Linked DNA regions of Oryzias latipes. The protein of the gene in region 2 binds, or shares a complex with, the protein of the main gene of each other region. Links are inferred from orthologs where the notes say so. Each region holds a gene or a part of one and is shown on either strand. Other genes may lie near its edges.

The links.
Region 1: the proteins of ptpn11 (region 2) and gab1 are in contact, whole or in part, in a crystal structure (PDB 4QSY), measured with the Homo sapiens proteins. The link is inferred for Oryzias latipes from reciprocal best matches to the Homo sapiens genes PTPN11 and GAB1. Residues at the interface, in NP_002825.3 of Homo sapiens: Gly13, Val14, Glu17, Arg32, Pro33, Ser34, Lys35, Ser36, Thr42, Arg47, Thr52, His53, Ile54, Lys55, Leu65, Gly67, Gly68, Tyr81, Gln87, Leu88, Lys89, Glu90, Lys91, Ile96; in NP_002030.2 of Homo sapiens: Lys623, Val625, Glu626, Tyr627, Leu628, Asp629, Leu630, Asp631, Leu632, Asp633.
Region 3: the proteins of ptpn11 (region 2) and pdgfrb are in contact, whole or in part, in a crystal structure (PDB 1AYA), measured with the Mus musculus proteins. The link is inferred for Oryzias latipes from reciprocal best matches to the Homo sapiens genes PTPN11 and PDGFRB. Residues at the interface, in NP_001103462.1 of Mus musculus: Gly13, Val14, Glu17, Arg32, Pro33, Ser34, Lys35, Ser36, Thr42, Thr52, His53, Ile54, Lys55, Leu65, Gly68, Gln87, Leu88, Lys89, Glu90, Lys91, Gly93, Ile96; in NP_032835.2 of Mus musculus: Ser1005, Val1006, Leu1007, Tyr1008, Thr1009, Ala1010, Val1011, Gln1012, Pro1013.

The regions. Positions count from the first base shown.
Region 1 is NC_019859.2:18,118,041-18,121,540, reverse strand, and holds part of gab1 (GRB2-associated-binding protein 1), read left to right. Parts: intron 1-112; coding exon 113-241; intron 242-1,645; coding exon 1,646-1,811; intron 1,812-3,500. UniProt on the Homo sapiens protein: Adapter protein that plays a role in intracellular signaling cascades triggered by activated receptor-type kinases. Plays a role in FGFR1 signaling. Probably involved in signaling by the epidermal growth factor receptor (EGFR) and the insulin receptor (INSR).
Region 2 is NC_019870.2:1,412,429-1,415,928, reverse strand, and holds part of ptpn11 (tyrosine-protein phosphatase non-receptor type 11), read left to right. Parts: intron 1-512; coding exon 513-626; intron 627-2,434; coding exon 2,435-2,531; intron 2,532-2,607; coding exon 2,608-2,687; intron 2,688-2,768; coding exon 2,769-2,927; intron 2,928-3,500. UniProt on the Homo sapiens protein: Acts downstream of various receptor and cytoplasmic protein tyrosine kinases to participate in the signal transduction from the cell surface to the nucleus. Positively regulates MAPK signal transduction pathway. Dephosphorylates GAB1, ARHGAP35 and EGFR.
Region 3 is NC_019868.2:16,278,139-16,281,638, reverse strand, and holds part of pdgfrb (platelet-derived growth factor receptor beta), read right to left. Parts: intron 3,454-3,500; coding exon 3,331-3,453; intron 3,135-3,330; coding exon 3,023-3,134; intron 2,311-3,022; coding exon 2,211-2,310; intron 2,132-2,210; coding exon 2,026-2,131; intron 820-2,025; coding exon 521-819; intron 1-520. UniProt on the Homo sapiens protein: Tyrosine-protein kinase that acts as a cell-surface receptor for homodimeric PDGFB and PDGFD and for heterodimers formed by PDGFA and PDGFB, and plays an essential role in the regulation of embryonic development, cell proliferation, survival, differentiation, chemotaxis and migration.

The DNA of each region.
Region 1 (3,500 bases), on a different chromosome or scaffold from region 2:
TGAAAATGACATAAATAAAGCTTTTGGTCAGCTTGTGGTCATCTGGGAATGAAACAGTCAGTGTGAGAACATGCGTATAACCTTTGGCCTCATTTTTGTGCTTACCCTGCAGGCATGGAAGAAGCGATGGTTTGTTCTTCGCAGTGGCCGTCTAACAGGCGACCCAGACGTCTTGGAGTATTACAAGAATGACCACACCAAGAAGCCTATTCGTGTAATAGATCTCAACTTGTGTGAGCAGGTATTACTCCTTGTTCCATGGGAAACACTCGATTTGTGTTGTGACAGTTTTGCTGTAGATGCAGTGGAGATACTTGCTACGTTCTTTTTCTTTTCTTTCTTAAATGAGGGTTTGTTTAAAGCCTGCTAGTCTAGCTTTATAGTTCATTCCACATTTTTTTACATTTATGTAAGCCATTATATTTGTGAAAATGAACACTTCTTGGGAACTTCAGTATAACTTGGTAGGTAAGGCTGTTTGTATAACTGGGGGTGGGGTGAAGGGTTGATTCGGACTTAACCAGAGATATAGTATCAATTAACTAAGCTAAATAATACACAATATAATCACTATGACTTAGAAATGACTCAAAAAACTAAAATTGCAACAGTAAAGCCTAATTTATTCAAAGTTTAATTGTGTGGCTAAATGTTTTATGGATGAAGAATGAGGGGGGGAAAACAGAAGGAAAACTTCCAAGAAATGTAGGGAAATCTTTACTTTTAGCCATTATAAAGTTGTTTACAGTATGATTATTATTTATATGTTCTATTCATTCAGTTACCTTTTCATGTAATATTGAGGACCAAAAGAATTGGCACACACGAAATAATTAAACATTTATTTTAAAAAAAATCAATAGTTGCATCATCCAGAACTAAGTTCATCATTCTAAAATATTTCAAGTAAAAAGAAAATAGTAAAAACAAACAGCAAAATGTATTAACCACTGGGTAGTTTTTAATTCTAATCATGTTTTCTCACTCCACTTTTTTTAAATACCATTTCTTAGCAGTGACTTAGTACCTGAACATAATGAAAAGGACTCCTAGAAAAACAAGAATAGAGTCTGAGTCAGAAAGTTTCTGGAAGATGTTATATCACAATGCCTAAAATGCACAAAAACCAGTGAGAATCTCTGACAAGTGATGGTAGTTAAAATGGTTCATGGTTACTTGGGAAGCTCTACAAAACATCATGGTAAAGTAAACAACCCCCAAAAAAATTAAAAAACTCAAGTAAAACCACTTGCATACAATTTAAAAACAATTTTGAAACAGTAAATGAAAATGATAAAATCATTATTTTAGCACGTGTTAAAAAACAGTCTGGGGGCAGTTCTGTTTTTTTTTCTTTCTGAATTAGGCTTAAGGAGGAAGTGTAAGTGTTGCCCTTTGCTATGTCCAGGAGCAGCTGATTAGCTGACCCAAGGGACTGGGAGAGAGGTGTGTGCCTGTAAGAGCTCAGAGTTCAGGGCAAGGCCACTGAAAGCATAAAAACAATTAAGTCTCTTAAACGAACAGGCAAAAAAACCAAGACTTGTTCACCAAACTGTATTTTTTGTTATTAACACAGATCAAACTCAGTCACCTTGATACTGAACCACTATGTTGTAAGACAAACTCTGTTGACGTCTCACCCTAGGTTGATGCTGGGCTGACGTTTAGCAAGAAGGATTTGGAGCACAGCTTCATTTTCGACATTAAGACCATCGACCGTGTCTTTTACCTGGTGGCTGACACTGAGGAAGAAATGAACAAGTGGGTTCGCCACATCTGTGACATCTGTGGTTTTAACCCCACTGACGATGGTAAGCGTTGCCCCATAAGTCGTTATTGTACTCCTAACAATTACAAGTCCTGTTACTGTTGTGTCAATGTTCGTTTCAGGGAAGTTGAATACTCTACAGTAAACAAAACTGATTATTGTTAAGCAGAAACAATGTTTTAACATTAGCTATTTTATTAATCAGCCAAAAAAAAACTTAAAAGTCAAAACGACTCCCTAACCATTTGTAATGTGAGTTAAAGAGCAACATGACATTTTTTTTTCCATTTAGCTTTCAGGATTTATTTATTTATGGGAAATTAATAACTCGCTGCTCTAAACTTGAAATCTCCTCAGCAACAGTTTTTTATTCAAAAGTTGTTGTTTGACAATACTTCTTACCATCCTGCACCAGGCCTTTTGTTAGTTTTTGGTAAAATGCATACACAAAGAGCACTGTAACAAGCATTTTTCGTCTTTTAATTGTCTGTAGTATAGGGCAAAAATCGTAATACAAAAGTCTTTATGTGAAAATGAATCTAAAGTTTTAAAAATCCGACTTTAGTTTGCTGGTGCTTTGAACATGTTTTTTTAAGGAGACCTATATGTCCAGTGATATGAGATCCTTGAACTCCTCCACACAGTCAAGCTCCACTTCTCCTAGGAACCCACCAGATGGATGACATTTTAGCTATTTTATTTTTATTGGTAAATATAATCATAGTTCTGTTGTTGTCCATTAACATGTATGAGTTAATGAGCCACTGCTGAATATTTCCAAGTTCTGCTATAAAAGTTGTAAATATTTTCTGTTTGCTATTAGCATAATCAAAGCCCCAAGTACTTTATAAGTCTTTCAGCCCTTTTTTTCTTCTAGTTCCAATTTCTCTTGCTCCTTAGCAGTAAAATGCATCAGCTTTTAAGTGAGGTTTGACATAAGGGACTGCACAGGTTCTTTTTAGAAGAGGACACTTGTCAAAGTTGTCAAGTGACTCATTGGTTATGGTGCTCTGTCATCCTTGCAGCAGCTATGCCTCAAGTTCAGGAAAAAAATACTAACATTGAGCTCCTCTTGAACAGAATTTTTCATATTGGCTCTTTAAAGACGCACAAGCTAACAGACTTTTCAAGGATAAAAATTGAGACATATTTTTTTTTTCAGATAGGCCTCTTTGGCTGTTATTGTAAAAGAATGTCCTTGGCTCTCTTTCTGTTTGCACTTCTCTGTGTGTGAGACCCAGCTCCCACTCCTCTGTAATGTGTGGCCACACTACACGCAGAGCGCTTCAGAGCCGAGCAGATATTAGAGGAAGGAACATTAGGAAAGCTGGAGGAATGGAAGCTCTCAGAGATGGTGTAGGTGGTATAGATTAGTACTTTCACACACATAAAAAAAGCATTCCCCCCTTTTTTTTCTCTGCAGATTCTTACACAAAACCTAAATAGCAAAAAGGAGCGAACACAAGTGCCGGAATTGACTAGAAATGTTTTTATTAACTCAAAACTGCTTTTGTTTTACAACAAAAAATAGGATTGCTTGGATTATAAGCAGTCATCTTTGTTCACATTTTAGGAGAACAACTCAAGCAGACATTTTTTTTAAAAGATTGGAAATATGGTAACTCTCCCTGTTACAAAGCACAGACCTTGGTGAGGAACTGTATTTATCTAGTGTGGGAAGAAAAACAACAAAACATACAGGCCAAATATCCCAACAATCTACAAATGCCAG
Region 2 (3,500 bases):
CTCACGCCGCCCCCCCCGAGGGGTTTCCGTGGAAACAATAGAATAAACAGCTGGATTGGTTCCACGTGAGAGAAGCTTGGGTTTATGTCTGCGTTAATGCAGAGTGTTTGTCCTTTTCCTGCCTCCGTTTGTTTAAAGAAAAACATTCAAATTCAACAAAAAAAACCTATAAACTTTAGAAAGTAGATGTATTTACATTTAAATGGATGGAAAGAAGGCATTCCTGCACACCTTCCCTGTGGCGGGACATTTGGTTTGCATGTTAACACCGTGTGTCGACATGGATCAGAGGATTCTTTCCTGTCGTTGACACTCGTCTGAAGAAACCAGCCAATTATCTTTCAAATAAATATATAAAAGTCTGTAAACACCAAGTTTCTGTTCACCGTTTGCATGAAACATGTCTATAATCTCTTCCTGTCTGTTCCGTAATGTCTTCATGTTCTAATGTGGCGCCGTCTTGACCTTCAGGAGCGACCTTTGCACTAAATGTTTTCTGCTGTGGTCTGCAGCCGCTCAACACGACGCGCATCAACGCAGCGGAGATCGAAAGCCGCGTCCGTGAGCTCAGCAAGCTGGCCGAGGCCACGGACAAGGTGAAGCAGGGCTTCTGGGAGGAGTTTGAGGTGAGTGGTCTGAGAAAGAGGAGCAACCTGCTTTTACTCTGAAGGCACAGGGAGCGTGCTTTTACTCTGAAATCCCACCGTAACCTCAGCGGCGGCAGCAGCACGTTTAACGGTCAGAATCATGAAGGATCTTTCTGATGTGCTTGATGAGTGTTTGTACTGGAACTCAAAAGACATTCCTCCAACGTTTAGGCTGAATCTGAATTCATCCCCTACCCCGACATTTATCCCTCCAAGACGGTTATGGAAAATCCGGACATGACTACCACTCCATGACATCATCAACGGTCGCCGGTCTCCCCCGCTGGCGTGTAGCTGCCATAATACAGTGGTTTATAACTTTAAAACGTTGTCATGGAAGCCAATACTTACATTTAGTCATGAACCTCTGTGCTTCAGAGCACACCCGCCTAAAGAAAAGCCTTTTTCCTGGCGTGCCAGCGAGACGCGGACCCCCCCCACCGGCAGAGGAATACCCAGCCGTGGGTCACTGCGGCTCCTCCTCAAAGAAACACTTTCAGACACCCCTACAGCTCCAAACGTCCCTGCAATGTCAGCAGTCTGGGGAGCCAGAGGGGAAGTCCTCATCATGTCAGAAGACTTTTATTTTGAAAGCAGATGGAGCCGGTTTCCTGTGTTTTTTTCCAGAAGTTCAGCTTCAATCACCTGAAGAAGAAGAAGTGTAGTTTTGGCTTTAGGGGCAGCAGTCTTTGTGTTATTCTAACAGATCAATAACCATGAGGAGTGATTGCTGTGCAGAAATGTCACTTCATCATTTTCTGAATTTACTTTTAAAAAAAACAAAGTATTTGGGAAAAAACTACACTCAAAAAAGGGATTCAAACCCTCTTTCATGTAACAACACAAGTAAATGCCGTTTGTTTTATTTAAATATATTTATTTTAAAAATATGTATCTATATTTAATTGACCTAACATAAAATGTATTAATAGTTTCACCTATAAACTCCAGTATTGAATAAATAAATTCATAATTAGGGGGCATGCTGTGCACATGTGCAGACTGCACCTTCTGCAAAATCATTTCTTCTGTGATTCTATTCTTTAATTGGTTGGATGCTGTTTTCCTCTTTCTCTTTATTTATTCTTCTTATAGTATCTTCCGCCGTTTTACGGCTACAATTTTTCACCTATTTTAACCATTCAACTATTAAAACGTTCAGCTCTTTCGTCTAATGCCTGCCATGACTTTTGGTCCTTCAAATCCTTTGAACTTTTGTTCGTGTTTTTCCACGTAAAAAAGGTACTGTGGCTTGGAATGGATTCAACTGGGTTTCTCCCAGTAAGATCAAAGACGACAAACCTCATTTATGTAGAAAATGATTCTGTCTTTATAGTGTTGGATGCCTGAGGCCACAGGAGAGTCGGCTCAGTGGATCAGTCTGTCTGCATGTGGAGGTTCTACCTTCCAGAATAGTGTCACACCATGTTTTTTGCTTTGTCTTCTTGATAAAATTGAGTTCGACTAACTCGATTATATTTCATTACATGGAGGAATTTTTTTGATTTGGTGCGACTCATATTTATTGGATGGAAATCCTGCCCACAATTAAATTGAGTTCATCCAATTTTTTTGAGTGTATAGACGTGTACAGATATTTGGAATAACGTCCTCAATAAACTACAGTTGTTGAAAAAGCGGCTATGATGAATAAAATAGAATAATAGAATTTGTGTTTACATGAACGTGCAGCTTCACGTTTGTGTCGGCGTTTTCTGCCAAACGCCGCTAAAGCTGTGTCCAGAAGCAGATCTGAACCTGGAGTTTCCTCTTTTCTCTGCATGCAGACGTTGCAGCAGCAGGAGTGTAAACTGCTGTACAGCCGCAAAGAGGGACAGAGGGCGGAGAACAAGAACAAGAACCGCTACAAGAACATCCTGCCCTGTGAGAGCCCCCGGCGCCGCCGCCACTCCAGGCCGCTCGACCCCGCCCTCTTCTCATCTGCCGTTTGTGTTTGCAGTCGACCACACGCGGGTGGTGCTGAACGACGGGGACCCCAACGAGCCCGGCTCGGACTACATCAACGCCAACATCATCATGGTGAGCCTCCCTCTCGCCGTCCGGCTCTGCGGGTCCGTTTGCGCTCGGGTTTGTGCAGCTTCTGGTTCTGCCGGTTTGCAGCCGGAGCTGGACGCCAAGTGCAACAGCCACAAGCTGAAGAAGAGCTACATCGCCACTCAGGGCTGCCTGCAGAACACCATCAGTGACTTCTGGAGGATGGTGTTTCAGGAGAACTCGCGGGTCATCGTCATGACAACCAAAGAGGTGGAACGAGGAAAGGTGAGGGCCGCCGACAAGTCTTCCATACATTTATCGCTTCTTTTTAGCAAAATCTTTTGGAGGCTTTCAGCTTTTTTTGACCAATGTGATCTGACCGTTTTCCTTTCTTCCCCTTTGAATTCCTTTGTGGAATATATCAATATATATAAGTATAATATCTATATAAAACTGAGCATATACAGTACATTCACAGCTTCTCATTCAGTGTGTCCAAACTTTTGGTCTGTACCGTAAATATGCTTTTTTCATTCTAAAAACTCCTTTTTGTATTAAACTTCTTTCTAATCATTGAAGGGTTTTAGATAATCTGAGTTTGTTTGACTGAATCCAAACAAATGTCTGACTCCAGGGGCCTGTTTCAGAAAGGAGGTTAAGTGTAAACTCTGAGTGCGTTAACCCTGAAATCAGGGAAACCCTGGGTTTTCCGTTTCAGAATGGGAGGTTTGTTAAACCAGAGAAAGCAGAGTAAGTCAAACCCGTTTCTGAAAGAGAGGTAACTTTTACTCGGAGTCAGTATCCATGGTTACTTATGCTGTGAACCTAACCTGGTCGGGAGCAGGTTTTATTCTCTAA
Region 3 (3,500 bases), on a different chromosome or scaffold from region 2:
TTAAACCATTTTCAAAGAACATTTTGTTACATAAACATGTTTTCTCAATGACTTTTGTGTAAAATTGTTGATGCAAATTTAGAATTATTATGATCAATGTGGGAGGTCTTATTGTAGTGATTTACTAAAGTGCAGTTCTGAGGCGTCACAGTGGCCATTCATCAGAAAACGAACCAATTGAGCTCAAAACATGAGTTTTGGCTTCAAATCCCACCCGACCTCAAACAAGGAAGCAAGGTTTGGGGTTAGAAAGGCTTAGTGAACAAAACAAACACAAAAATGAAGTTTGGTCTACTGTGTTTAAAAAAAAGCAGTTTTTGTAGATTTAAGTCCCTGCCTGGTCCTGTGTTTATTTAAGTTATAAAAATACATCTCTATGAAGCTTTTATAATAAACTACTGTGTCAGTTCAACATCTGGATGAGTGGGTGTGTGGCAGACAAAAGCAAACACATTTTCATCGCCCCTGCAGCCCCATGTTTTTGACACACATCTGCAGAGTGTTTGCAGCGGTCCGGTACCTTTCAGGGCTTTCTGACGGCATGCTGCCGAAAGCTTCCTCTGGTTTGGGGTCCGGGATGGGAATGATGTACTCATTATATGAAGTTACGACTTCCTGCCCGTCTGCTTCGTGCCTGCGCTCTCCAGGCCTCTGGCTCTGGTTGTTGGCTGTGGGACCGGGAGAGGAGGAGAAGGCAACAGGAGACAGGGAGCCAAATGTGGGGTCAGCGACGGGAAAGGGCGAGGTCCGGCGGGGTTTGGTGCGGGCCACTGCCGGGTGGTCACTCTTCAGGAAGTTCTCGTTCACTTGGCTGTATCTCTGTTTTTGGAAGAAATGCTTGCTAAGCAGAATAATGTGGCAAAAGCTGCTGAGTCCTTCTAAAGTTTACTCTATTTTTACTTATAGCAGTTTACTACTAGTAATTACTTAACTAATAGTAGTTAAGTAATAGTCTACTTATAGTTTGGATATTGTATTTTAAATAAATGAGTGGACCAACAAACAAGAGGCTGTCCCAGAATTGGATTGCAGAAGTGGATTATTAAATTCTAAAAAAAGTATATAATTGGGTCAAAACAAGAACAATTCTGTATATTTTTAGATCTGATAGGATGAAGATGCGGAGATTTTAAAATGACAGCATCATGTTAAGTTTCCATCAGCCTGATGAAAGCGGTGAACATGGAAGGAGCTTTAGGCACTGATCTCATAAAAGCAGCTCCTCAAATGTCTTCGTTCCAGCTTTGCCAAATGGGTCGCAACAGTAATTAAGAACCTCAAATGCAGCATTCATTTTGGGGATATCAGCTCTGGAAGGCATTTGCAGCAGATGTGCACTGACACAAAAACTTTATTTGTTGTATTTCTATAACATCTCCAGGTACATCAGGAACTCTCCAGACTGTTACAAAAAAAGCACTCAAACTGACAAAAGCAGTTTTCTCCTCACTGCTTTAAAAAAAGGTTCTAAATTTTGGCATGGATAAGGCCTACCTTCTACCCATCATCTATCTTTTTATACTCTCTCCTGCTAGCTAACAGCCCCTCACAACCCCAATCTAACATTACCAGCGGGGAAAAAAATGGCGAGCAAAATCAGAGTTAAGTCGCTGTACATTTAAGCCATATTCCAGCTGAAAACAAACATGTACATGGATCTAGTTGTCTACGACTGGATGCATCAGAAAGGAGCAGAGCAGGGAGCTTAAGTCTTGCCAAAGTTATTTGTGTGCCCCTCTTACAAGCTTTTTCAGTGGCATTTTGCGTCTGCTTTTAATTCACAACACACTGATTCACAACAAGTGGAATACATAAATACTCAGAAATGCAATTTTAAGCTTAATTTACTTTATATACAGCATGTAATCCATTATCAGAAAAATGCCACAAGTGGGTCTTTAACTGAGCACTTTTTTATGTTTAAAGCATTTTAACGAGAAGCAAAGTAAAGCAACAGAGTTAGAGATTCAGAAGTGAATATTAGAGCAATAACTGATGTTAAGTGGATTAGCATGGATTCAATACCTTCTTATAGCTGTCTGTCAGCATGTTTCCCACGTTGTGAACCAACAAGGAGAACTCAGGCCTCTTCTCAAACTTTTCATCCCAGCACTTCTTCATGATTTCATACCTGCGTCACAAACGTAATTTTTTTTGGTATAATTTGTAGGCATAAAAAGTTCTACGTTTAACAACTGACAAAAACTCACACTTCATCTGAAGCATGGGGAGGTTTGGCCATGCGGTATCCTCTTTTCAGTGCGTTGTAGAACAGTTCGTTCATGGGCAAATCTGGGTAGGGGGTTCCTCCTAAGGAAGAACAAGAATGGTTTTAAGCTATGCCAGAACTTAGGAACCCTTTTTTGAAACTACAAAGTCTGACTTCTGTCAAATATAATCAATCCCAAATGTGTAGTTTAAAGAAATGACCACTTTTCCCAGTATGTTTTAAAAGTACTTGGATTTTCATTATATAAAAAAAAATGTATTCAAAATTTAAAATAATTAGTTATTAAAGGTGAACATTTGGACACATGCAACAAGACATTTTATACACATGTAAATCTATAGGAAAAATATGATAAAAGTCCAAATGAAAGCTGACTTCCAACAAGCAAACAGAGACTCTTTGTCACTTACAGAGGCTGGATTGTAAGTTTGTTTTTTTATGACTGGAGTTAATGGTTGAAATGCACTAAACTGTCTCCTTTGTTTCATGGTAGCTTCCTTAGATCTATTGTGGATTAAAAGAAAAAAAATACATTTCCTAGAGCAAGAGAAATGTAAAAGCTTGACTGTAGCTAACAGGATTTTGGGTCTTTAAACTAACTGGTATGTTCTTGGTCAGACATGGACTTGGAACATTTGGAGCACTGTTTTTTGTTATTATTTGAGTTCAACACTTAAAAATTGATCAAATGGGAAGTTTATTTAAAAGCTATGTGTAAATCCCCTGCATGCATGAAAACTTTGTTTGAGGGTACAAATAGTGTGCGCTTTATGAACGTGTGGTCGGACTCACCCAGAGTGAAAATTTCCCAAAGGAGTATGCCGTATGACCACACATCACTCAGGGTGGTGTACAAATTATGAAAAATGCTTTCTGGTGCCATCCACTTCAGGGGCAGGAAGGTCTAAAAGAAAGAGAAATACACTGCAGCTTAGATGATAAAGAACCTCATTTTTTCACAGTCAGGAGGGTTAAAAGATTCCACTTTGCTTCTTTCTGACTGTTGTGTAATAACCATTTATATCTTATTTGTTAAAATGCTGTTTTGCTGGAGAACCATTTCATTTTGGCAGAGTAGCACACATTACATTACGACTTACGCTTCCTTTGGAGATGTAATTGGAATCATGCATTATGTCTCTGGCCAGGCCAAAGTCGCAAATCTTCACCAGCTTGCCTTCACAGATCAACACGTTCCTGGCAGCCAGGTCACGATGGACGCACTGCATTGGAAAAAAAGTAAATTGAGTTATTCTTCCTCTTTCCTCGA